Linked DNA regions of Caenorhabditis elegans. The gene in region 2 interacts genetically with the main gene of each other region. Each region holds a gene or a part of one and is shown on either strand. Other genes may lie near its edges.

Region 1 (3,758 bases), on a different chromosome or scaffold from region 2:
AAAAACAATTAACATAAAAATTACCAAAATTAACCTTTATAAGTGCTGAAACATTTTAGAAATACCACAGAGTACCTTCAGCATCTGGAAAATTCTGAGGGCTCCAAAATTTAAAAACAAGTTACATCCAAATAATTATATATTTAATTTGCAGTTTTCATGATTTTTTATTCAAAATTTAAACGCATACATGTCTTGTAAGTTAAAATTAGTAATCTTAACAGTATAAAGGAAACTTTAAATGTATAATAGTACTCATAGATAATATACAGTATCGCAACTTTAAAAGATATCCATTTTTCTGAAACCACGTTATTCTGATCTTTCACACATTTCTTCAAAACTTTGTGAACAGTTTGACTGAATTAATTAAACATAATGGCTTGAATGCCATCTCCGTCTGTTTCAACAGATATGAATCTATTCTTTCACAAATCCACTGCGTCATTCAGGACTTCATTTATCTTCCTATTGATTCTTCAATTCACTCCGATTAAGTTTTACTATTTGATGAAAGTTCAACTTCATCGTCATTTGAATTATGTGCTCTCTTTATTTCTGGTATTATTGTTTCTGATTTATGTATTCTCAAGAACAGACTTACATTTAAACAGTGTCTAATGTTGTTTTGTGTGAATTGCAATGAGAGTTTATAATTTTTGTGACTAATTTTCATTTTGACCTTTGAAGAAATAAACGATTTTTTTGTTGTTGGGTTATTTTTATGTGTATAGTAAAATTGAAATGATTTGCTTCTTAATATTTTTGATACCGTATATTCTCTATTAGTTCGGCACCCCCAATTGCTCAACTTTGACAGCTTATATCTCGGATTTAAGCCAAAAATTTCAACTAAGAACATCTTTGTTAAATCTTTTTCTTTTTCTATGTTTTTCATTTTTCGATATCTTCAAAAGCGTGCGAGTTACATATACGCTATTAAAATAGAGCGGTTGAGGTGCCGCACTAATAGAGAATATGTGGGATATAGAGCTCTTTTCGAATGTACAGCGTATCTGTTAAATTTCTGTGATAGTTTTTGAAAATTAGTTTCTGAAAATGAAAACTTATAAGTAGGTTACGATAGAATCATGGAATCGACTGCTACAGCACTTTCCGAAAGTTTGAATTCAGGATATGCAGGATTTCTACCAAAACGTTCCACCGCCTCGGATTTAATTCTCTAAAATCGTATTTCCTAGCCAGAAAAAAGACTTGCCACGTGTAAGCGAGAAGACAAGGCAAAGGCTTGATAGCAATCTTCGCTTCTAAGCATATGCTTTGAAAACCCCGCATACAGCCTCATCGTCGCCCTCATTTCTCTTCCAAATGGCTAACATTGTACCTATTCATAAATCTTTAGAGTATTCACTGGTTGATGTACCACTTCTTTGTAAGAATGATGATCCGAATGATGAGATTGTGATCTATAGCAAATATTCGAATTCAAGAAGATTTATTGATTGGGCTCTTGTTATCACTGTGGCAATTACAGCATGCTATTCCTTATTCACATTGAGCAAATTTTATCTTTGAATTATTGGGAAAAAAGGTTTTGATTGATTTCTTTTGGCATTTTAATTAATTTCTTCAGAAATGATCCCGGCAATCGAACTTGAACATTCTGGTAAAAAAAGAGCATCTAAGTATTCAATTGCGCTTTTTTTCTATATTTATCTTTTTTATAATTGGTTTTATACATAAGATTTTATAAGTTCTGATTTTTTTAATTGATAAAATAAATACATTTATTTATGCTCGATTGATCAAATTTGAAAACATTTTACAAGGCTCATAAAGATTAAATTAATTTTCTTTAATATCCAGTCACTTTCAAAAACTTGACCGACCAAAATAACTTTAAATGCTTAATTTATAAATTTTTTTAAAATTAATTTATCCAACTCCAGATCACGTTGCTATATAATTAGAGAGTGAGACGCAGAAAGTGCGAGTTGACGCACTTCTCGTGCCCCTTGATTGACGCTTTTTCTGTGGTTGGCGCGTTTCGTGCGCGCGATTTTCGAATTTTAGGTTCACTTTTTCCGAATTTCAGCAAATTTTCAGCTTTATATTTCAATTTCAGACATCAAAATGGCGACATTGGACGGAATTAATGTGAAAGATATTGTAAAGGTATTTTGTTGCTCATATATTCAATTTTTGTGTTCAATTTAGCATATTTTCTAATAAAATCTAGGTTCAATTGCATTACAGTATATTTTCCAGGTTGAACGCACCTCCGTACATTCACATATTACTGGTCTAGGTCTTAATGATCGTTTAGAAGCTGAATATGTGTCTGGAGGAATGGTCGGCCAGGTTGCCGCTAGACAAGCTGCAGGACTTATTGTCAAAATGATTCAGGTAATGTTTTCTGCACAAAAATTCAAAACTAAAATTGCTACTATATTTTTTAGGAGGGAAAAATTGCCGGACGTGCTCTTCTTGTGACAGGAGAGCCTGGAGCTGGAAAGACTGCTATCGCCATCGCAATTTCCAAAGAACTTGGTGAGGACACCCCATTTGTCAGTATTGTCGCTTCAGAGGTTAGTCTAATGTTTTTTTTCAGATTAATAAATATCTTTTTTAAATTTCAGATTTATTCAAACGAAATCAACAAAACAGAGGCACTTACTCAAGCTTTTCGACGTGCTCTGGGAATTCAGATTAAAGAAGAAACTGAAGTTTTGGAAGGAGAAGTGATCTCGTTGGAAGTTGATCGGTCAGCAAATGGAATGGGACCAAAGGTCGGAAAACTCACAATGCGTACAACTGATATGGAAACTATCTACGATCTTGGATCAAAAATGGTTGATGCGTGTCTGAAAGAGAAAGTGATGCCCGGTGATGTTATTCAAGTTGATAAGGCTTCTGGTGAGAATTTTATTTAATCAAAAAACTGAAAAATTATCGTTTTTAGGACGTGTTACTCGACTTGGCCGTTCATTCAACCGTTCCCACGACTATGACGCAATGGGTCCAAAAGTGAAGCTTGTTCAGTGTCCAGATGGAGAAATTCAAAAGAGACGTGAAACTGTTCACACAGTTTGTCTTCACGACATTGACGTCATCAATTCTCGTACCCAAGGATACGTGGCACTCTTCTCAGGAGACACTGGAGAGATCAAAGCAGAAGTGAGAGATCAGATTAATAAGAAGGTTTTGGAGTGGAGAGAAGAGGGAAAAGCAAAGTTTGTACCAGGAGTATTGTTTATTGATGAAGCTCATATGCTTGATATCGAATGCTTTTCGTTCCTCAACAGAGCCATCGAAGGCGAACTCAGTCCCTTGATTATCATGGCCACCAACAGGTTTGCAAATATATTTTTTTTAATATTGAGTTTTTAATTAAATATCTTTAGATTGATCGAAAAAGTGCGTGGAACAGATGTCGAATCTGCTCATGGCATCCCATCTGATTTCCTTGATCGTATGCTCATCATCAACGCGATCCCATATACTAAAGAAGATACAGCAAAGATTTTGTCAATTCGATGTGATGAAGAAGGAGTCAAGTGAGATATATCTTTTAAAAACGCTCCACCGGCAATTGGAAACGCTCTGTCCCCGATCCATGGGTCTTGTTAGGAAAATGGCGACAAAACCGTGAATTCAAACGTTTTTCGATCAGCTTCGCAGATTTCGCCAAAATTTAGGCATTTTTCCGATGTTTTAGTGGTTTTTTGAGCTGAATGAGGTTTTTTTTATTTGACTGAATTTTATTTTATCAGTCTGCATAAAAATCACTAAGAAAA
Region 2 (3,458 bases):
GCTGCTGACGATGTTGGAACAATATGTTCGCCTGGGAACGGAAGACCAAATGGATTTCCTTGAGGTATCAAGACTTCAGCGAGTTTTGCGAGTATTTGAGGTTGAGTAAGCAAACTTTGAGCCAATCTAGAATTTGAAAAAAAAATTAGAAACATTCTGGAATTAAGAAAAAAATAAAATGCATCAAAAACTCACAACAGGACTTGAGCATGTGGCAGATTTTTCTGTTTCTCTGGTTGTGGTTCCTTTTCCTTCTCTTCTTCATCATCCGAGTATTCAAAATCTTTTGTTAACACATTCTGTATACTACTTCCATTAATCCGATTATTCTCCGCTAGAACTTCTTCTACTTTTTGACTCAAGGATCCAGCGAATATTTGAAGTGCTCTCTGGAGAAGATTCTTGTCCTTACTTAAAACTCCACTGCGATCTATGCCGAACTTCTGAACCAATTCCAACATTTCTCTCTCAGAAATAGTTCCAAGGAAGTAATCTTCAGAAAGCACAAAGTTCGGAATATCTGGGACAGATCTCAGAGCAGATGATGGTCCAGCACCGAGAAGTCCATCATCCGGATGTGGATTTGTAGGAGTACGAGATTTCGGTTGAGACGATGATGAAGACCTTTTTGGCTTTTTCTTGTAAACTCCGGAATAAATGCTCATATCAGCCTGTTTTCCCTTCACGGCGAGCTCAACTTCCTCGAAATCGATAGCTAAAAATCAAACTTTTTTTTTGAATTCTCCACCATAATTACTTACTTAATCCAGAAGCCTTGCACATCTCTCTCAGTGGTTGAATCTCTGATTCCTTGAAAACTTTATTGGACATCCACAAATTAAGAGTTCTAACTGTTCTCATTTTCTCTTTCTGTCCACACTTTAACAGCGGCATCAAAAACTTGTCAAACTGCTTCATAAACCGTGGGCCAAATGTGTCTTTTTCTTTAAGTTGATGTTTTGAAGCACGGACTATTGAATCGATTACATAGAGCACATTTAGACGTTGATCTGGCTTGCACTGAAAAATCATTAATAAAAATAAATAAATTATTTAATTTAAATTTCGATTTCTCGAAATCATTCTAACCTTATTGATAAGTTTTTCAACTGAAAAAACCACATGCTTATATTGGCTTTTTGCTTTGATCGCAGCCTTTGTTATATCCTGAATCTTGTTCTTGCTCATGTTTTTCGAGTCGAATAGTGACGACAATTCATTATTAAACGATTTCATCACTTCCGTCTCCATGGTGATCCCACTGATGAGAGTTTTGTTCTGAAAAAAGCCAATTCAAATTAAAATCGATAATGCGAAGCGAGAAAATAAACTGAATAAAAGGAATAGTGGAAAGATACAATTGCAGAATTAAGAGTAAAGGTGGATGTGCTAATTTTAACGAATAGCAAATATTCCAAACGCTTATTTTTGAAAAATCGATAAATGCGATATGTCGACGGTTTAAAATCCAATGTAAACTATTTTCCCACTAAGTTTTTTCATGATTTTGATACTTTTTCAGTAGTTGAATATAATTTAATAATTTATGTACAAATTCATCTAATTATAGCGTTTTGAATGAAAATAGGAAAGAAAGCCGGCATAAAAATGGTAAAGCGCCGAGGTCAACACTGTGCCGCACACTTGCAAAACGGCGTGCCAGGCTTGCCAACCGAAGACTCCGCCCACAGCTAATGGTACTCTCGCGCACACAATTGGCACTATTCTGAAGAATTTCATTGTAATATATAATAAAATTATCGATTTTTTTTTCAAATTAAAAAATTCAAAATATTCACATATGATTTAATAATAATCATTTTTTCAGTTTCACATGGCAGAGTCAAGTGATATTCCGAATGGTACTTACACCTTGACCCTCGGGAAGTCATTTGAAGTAAAAGGACGGAAAAGTGACCCTAAGGCAGAGCAATTTCACACGCTAAGATGTAGGTTAACTGCACAATTTTAAGATTAAATATATCAGAAATTTAAAAATATAAAATCGAAATAGCTAAAATTTACAGACGATTTCAAGCCAAGCTCTGTATCAAACAATGCCGACACCTTCATAGCGTTTGGGAACAGCGGTGATGTACATGTCTCTGTACCAAGCGAAGGAGACAATATGACTGTATATAAAGGATCGAAAAAAGAAGCAAAACCGAAAGAATGTCTTCTGTTCTTCGACAAAAAGACCAACACAGTTCGCTTGGAGAAAATTACGAGCAATATTAATGTAAAAAAGACGAGAGATCTAGATCAAGGAACAGAACTCGCATTGAAACGTGGAATCGAAAGATTGAGAACTTCTTCTAATAATCAGCGATCTGGACCATCTTCACCGGAGGAGAAAGCGAAAATTCAGAAACAAATGCAGAGAGATACATCAGATTCGAGTAGTGATTCTGATGGATCATCTGATTCCGACAAATCGAATGGCGATTCCAGTGATGATGAAGATGAGAGCGAGAAGATATTATTGGAAGAAATGAAAAAGCCCAAACCATATACAGAAAGAGAACCCGCACCGCCTTCGTCTTCAAATACCTACAATCACAAAGAAAGCCACGTGGCTCCCTATATATCAAGTAGTGGAAATAAAAACAAAGATTCTGAGGAGAAGTATGGATTGGCACTTAGCGAAAGCTCCGACGAAGATGACTAATTTTAAAACATAATATTATTCAGTGTATTCAACCGTCTTTCTTGTGTACTTGTACTAGTGGTGGCAGTTATTTGCTTCTGTGATTTTTTATTTATTTCAAAACCGGGCTATCTATCGCAATCATAAATTTTTTCATTCAGGCTATTCAACAGTTTTATTTTTTCAGGTTTTCTGTTTAATCCGTGCACTATTTTAAAGTCGAACTAAAGTTTCTCTGAAATTTTTAAAATTCGCTGAAACCATTTTATCAATAGAGCATGCTTCTTGCGCTAAACAGTGTCGTTTGTAGACGTCGATTTTATCTTCAAATTTCTGTGTTTTTCTCACATATTGTTCATGATTTCAGATGGAAACTCACCGGTATATTCCAGAACATGCCGTCCCAATGCCGATTTCAGCGCTATTCAATTCAACAAAAGAACGAATCGAGTACGGAACGGCAGACGTTGTTCGCGTTCAAGTGATGGGTGTAATCGAATCTGTGAAGTTCGGAGATTCTGATGTAGAATACATGATTACTGATAAAGATAATCATAATATTTTGGTTCAAAAAATCCTCACCGTTAGTCTGAATATATCGTGTAACATTGGAAAAAAGTATTAATTTCAGGCTTCTTTCACCGAAGAATCTGCCAAGAAGTTCAACGTCGGGGACCGTGTTGAAGTATTCGGAAAAGTTCGAATTTTGGAGAATGGAAAGAAGTTTTTGAACGCATTTTCGATGCACAAAGCTTCAGATGAACAATTCGCCGCTTTTCAAATAATCTGCCGTTTTTCAGAGAAGTTCTAT
Region 3 (3,758 bases), on a different chromosome or scaffold from region 2:
AAATAAACCAATTTTTTTTTCATTTTAAATTATTTGTTTCGAATCCGAAATGTTTGAATGTCTTGAAAAATTAAATCCCAAATTTTCCAAATCAGATACTTCCTATATCTATTAAGTTTTCATTGAAAAAATCTGAAAATTAACAGTTTCTGAATAGATATTAAAGTGTTGGGTAGAATGGGAAAGACAAATAATGATTGGATGTAAAGATTTCCAAAAACTTTATTAATGCATTTATATAAAAGTTATAGTCATTTCTTATCAGAAAAACTATACCATGGCCCTTGATAAGAAAGATTAGATTTTTAGCCCGCCAATAGGACTATCATAACTGCGTTCATGTTGTTCACATGCATTATATCTGTAAATCGCACATGGGTGCGACTACTTAACCGGACAATAGGTCTCTATAGGTCTCTGAAAGTGAATACAGAGGTGCTGAGAATAAGATCATACAGCTGGCTGTATTAATATCTGGGAAAATCATAATTTTTTGGATTTTTAAATCAAAAAAAAAAAAGATTGGTAATCCCTATTCCCCTTAACAAAGAAACGATAGCAAAGGCCTAAAGAATAGTGTTACAAAAGATTCTACCGACGATGAGCTATGCGGAAAGCGGAACCATTAAACTTTTGTCAAAAGGTGATAATGGACCATCTAACTTATTGGTCACTTTCCTGTCTTTGTAACTATTATGTTGATAACCCTCATTATCAGTGCCCTTGATGGACGGAGCAACGAGAGGGCAATGCTGTGAACGTCTCTTTTGATACAGTAACTATCCATTGGGAGATTAGTCATTCCTGAACCTAATACTAGTTTCGGATGCTTGGGTGTGGTATGCAATGAAAAATCAATGAGACGGAACTTGAACTCTGTTTTTTGTGAATCGTTGAAATGATTCACCTGTTCCAAGTTATTTTTGGGAGTATTAGCGTCTCATTGATTTAACTTTCTTATTGCTTTTTTTTGATTTACAGTAATTATTATACCAGTATTGAACACTTTAATAGTCTCGCACAGACTTGTTACCAGATGTACCGTATCTATTAATTAAAAAAAATAAATCGGAACGATTTGAAATTTTGAAAATTGTGAAAATTTTAATTTTCGTGCCTAAAACAGCATCAAGCAAATTTTTTGTCAAAGCTTGATTCTTTTTCTCAAGGTTTTCAAAAATTCAAAAGTTAGTACTGTGCCTTCAATAAAACTTGTAGTCTCTTAGTCTTACACACCAACGGACCAATGGACATTGTATGAATGACTGAAACAAAAAATATATTATACTTTTTTGTGATATCTTTTTAAATTGCCCTTTGTTAATACTACCTAATTCTTAACTGCTATTAACTGCTACACAACTAGCCTTATCTTGCTCCCATAACGTATCTAAATGTCGCGCGCGCGGCGTCCGTCCTCTTATGTATCTGTACCAGTCACAAAATTGTGTTGATGAAAAAGGCAAGAAGAAGAAGAATGGCAGTTGAGGGTGAGAAATTTATTTTTCCTATTGTCGTGGGGGAGATTGGACGGTTTCATTTTTTCAAATGAGATATTAAAACATGATTAGGAAGAGTTGAGATTAGCTGATTGTGAGCTTAATGATAGTTTTTGGAGTTCAATGTTAAACTTTCCATTTCTACACCACTATACGATTCTGGGTCACTAAACACCCTTGCTCAGACGGCTTTTCAAAGAAACACCATCTCCCCTCTCCACCACCCTACGCCTGTACAAAATGACTCAAAAGGGCACCGCGCCCGCTCTCGGTCTCCGATCACTCAGTCTCTCTCTCTCCCTCCACAACCCAAAAAGGAGGCTTGCAGAAGTAGAGAAGCAGAGAGTGACGATCGCTGTCTCCAGGTGTCCGTGTCAAACTCTCTTATCAATCAGTGCTCTTTTTCTCTCGTGTTACTGCGTCTCTATGTCCATTCCCTTCTACTCATTCCCATACAGCCCCCTTCTACACCACCATCATCACCATCACACTGTCACAGTGTTGATAACGAAGAGTCGTATCAAGAGACCTAACAAAATCACCCAACCCCAGCCAATATTACCTTATACACCCTATCTGTCCACTGCGTATTTTTTGAAGGACTATCTAATTTGAGATACAATGACATCGCCATCCAGTGATGAGGACATTATTGATATAAGGGTAAGGCACCAGTTATTTTCTGCTTCATGCATCGTTTTTTTTTAAAATTGTTCGGGGCCTCTGAAAACGTTTTTGTTAGCTCCCGGCTGTATGCTCACTTTTTTCGAAATTAAAAACTTACAACCATCTTTGCCACACATGTTTAATCTATTTCTGCAGCTACCTTTCTATTTCTCTTCTGAAACAATCTGAAAATGAGCACCTTCTGTGTATAATAGCACATAAGTGCTCATTAACAGGGGATACTCGATGTCAATATGACCCGGCCAGGATGCTAGGTTGCCACCTATTATTGCTCCATTGGTATTCTGGGAAGATGCACATTTTGAGAATATCATGAACATCTGTGATTTGTCAGAAATAGTTTAGGTTATTGTTCAGCTTACCATATTTTCTTCAAACATCACTACAAACTTTTTTAATGACATTAAATACATTTTTTCTAAGTTCAATAGCTTTTTTGGAATTTGAATGTTAGTCATGAACTCTTAAAATATGCAAGGCTCAAAAAGTGAAATTGTTAAAACTTTCTTTTAAGATTTTTTTATCGATTCTCTTTTCGGAGAGATACAATGAAAATTTGATTCTCACGGTCCACGCACAAAGTTTTTTCTTCGTTTTGCTAGAAAAAATTTCTATGGAACAATTTGAACATGTTTTGAAACACTGTGGAAAATTAAAAGTTTTCATATTTCGATAATAAGAGCTCCCGAAAAAAATGCTCCAAAAACAAAACTCGGGCCATCCAAATATTTTTTGTTTCGATGGATGAAATGCGATATTCACCGAAGGGGCACCACCACCAGTGGCTCCGAAAGCTTCCACCCAAAAATGGGAGCCTCCTAGACGTATATTTTGTGCTCTTTTCTACTCTCTCGCTCCTCCTTCCCATGCAAATATTTGACAATTTCGCAGTGTGTATGTGATATCAGTTTTTGTTTGCCAATTGTTGTTTCTTTTATTTGCCATGTTCGTTTCACACGGTTTCAGTGATAAATATGTGATAAGCTTCAAGACGAACCTAATTTTTTTAGAACAAAATATGACGAAATGGGGTTCAAAAGTTTGGATTTACCATGGAAAATGTTTTTCTCACTTTACAATTACTATTCTTATAGACATGAATTTTCTTTTTCCTAAAAACGTCCCACACTTTTTGATTCTAATATACCTACACCTATTTTGAAATAATGAAATCATATCGAGTGAGTATTGATAAGAAACCTCTTCTTCCGCCTACACTGCTTTCTACTCTATTTTACGATTATTGATTATTTTGGAGAAGTGTATAAGATAATGAGTCAGCGCAGTTAATGCTCAATAATAACAGGTGCTAAAAAATAGGCGGCAGATGGATGATAGTCGTCTCAAGTTTTTTTACGATTTTGAATCACAGCTGGAAAAAACGACTGTTAGGGCGAACATCTGGACCCAGAAATATTCATTCAAAATTTGCTTGAAAGAACCATTCAAAATCGGACTAAAAACGGCGGCAATAGTAAAAGGAAATAGTTTTTAAAAAAAGGCGAATCGGCAAACTGCCGGTGCCGGATATCAGATTTGCCGGAAATGTTTAGAGGGATTTTTTCGTAAGAC

The links.
Region 1: changes in eaf-1 (region 2) and ruvb-2 impair growth when combined (synthetic growth defect), as found in Caenorhabditis elegans (one large-scale study listed by BioGRID).
Region 3: changes in eaf-1 (region 2) and pha-4 impair growth when combined (synthetic growth defect), as found in Caenorhabditis elegans (one large-scale study listed by BioGRID).

What each region holds. Positions count from the first base shown.
Region 1 is NC_003282.8:6,917,735-6,921,492, reverse strand, and holds the start of ruvb-2 (RuvB-like 2), read left to right. Parts: upstream 1-2,086; 5' UTR 2,087-2,094; coding exon 2,095-2,136; intron 2,137-2,229; coding exon 2,230-2,367; intron 2,368-2,420; coding exon 2,421-2,549; intron 2,550-2,600; coding exon 2,601-2,877; intron 2,878-2,923; coding exon 2,924-3,314; intron 3,315-3,365; coding exon 3,366-3,518; intron 3,519-3,758. Other genes in the region: T22D1.18 (Transposase), read left to right, coding at 1,330-1,536. UniProt on the Caenorhabditis elegans protein: Possesses single-stranded DNA-stimulated ATPase and ATP-dependent DNA helicase (5' to 3') activity suggesting a role in nuclear processes such as recombination and transcription.
Region 2 is NC_003279.8:4,601,389-4,604,846, forward strand, and holds eaf-1 (Ell-associated factor Eaf), read left to right. Parts: upstream 1-1,828; 5' UTR 1,829-1,834; coding exon 1,835-1,949; intron 1,950-2,027; coding exon 2,028-2,668; 3' UTR 2,669-2,808; downstream 2,809-3,458. Other genes in the region: nrd-1 (CID domain-containing protein), read right to left, coding at 1-126, 196-715, 762-1,020, 1,090-1,251; D1007.8 (Nucleic acid-binding, OB-fold protein), read left to right, coding at 3,015-3,230, 3,279-3,458.
Region 3 is NC_003283.11:20,750,932-20,754,689, forward strand, and holds the start of pha-4 (Defective pharyngeal development protein 4), read left to right. Parts: upstream 1-2,120; coding exon 2,121-2,162; intron 2,163-3,758.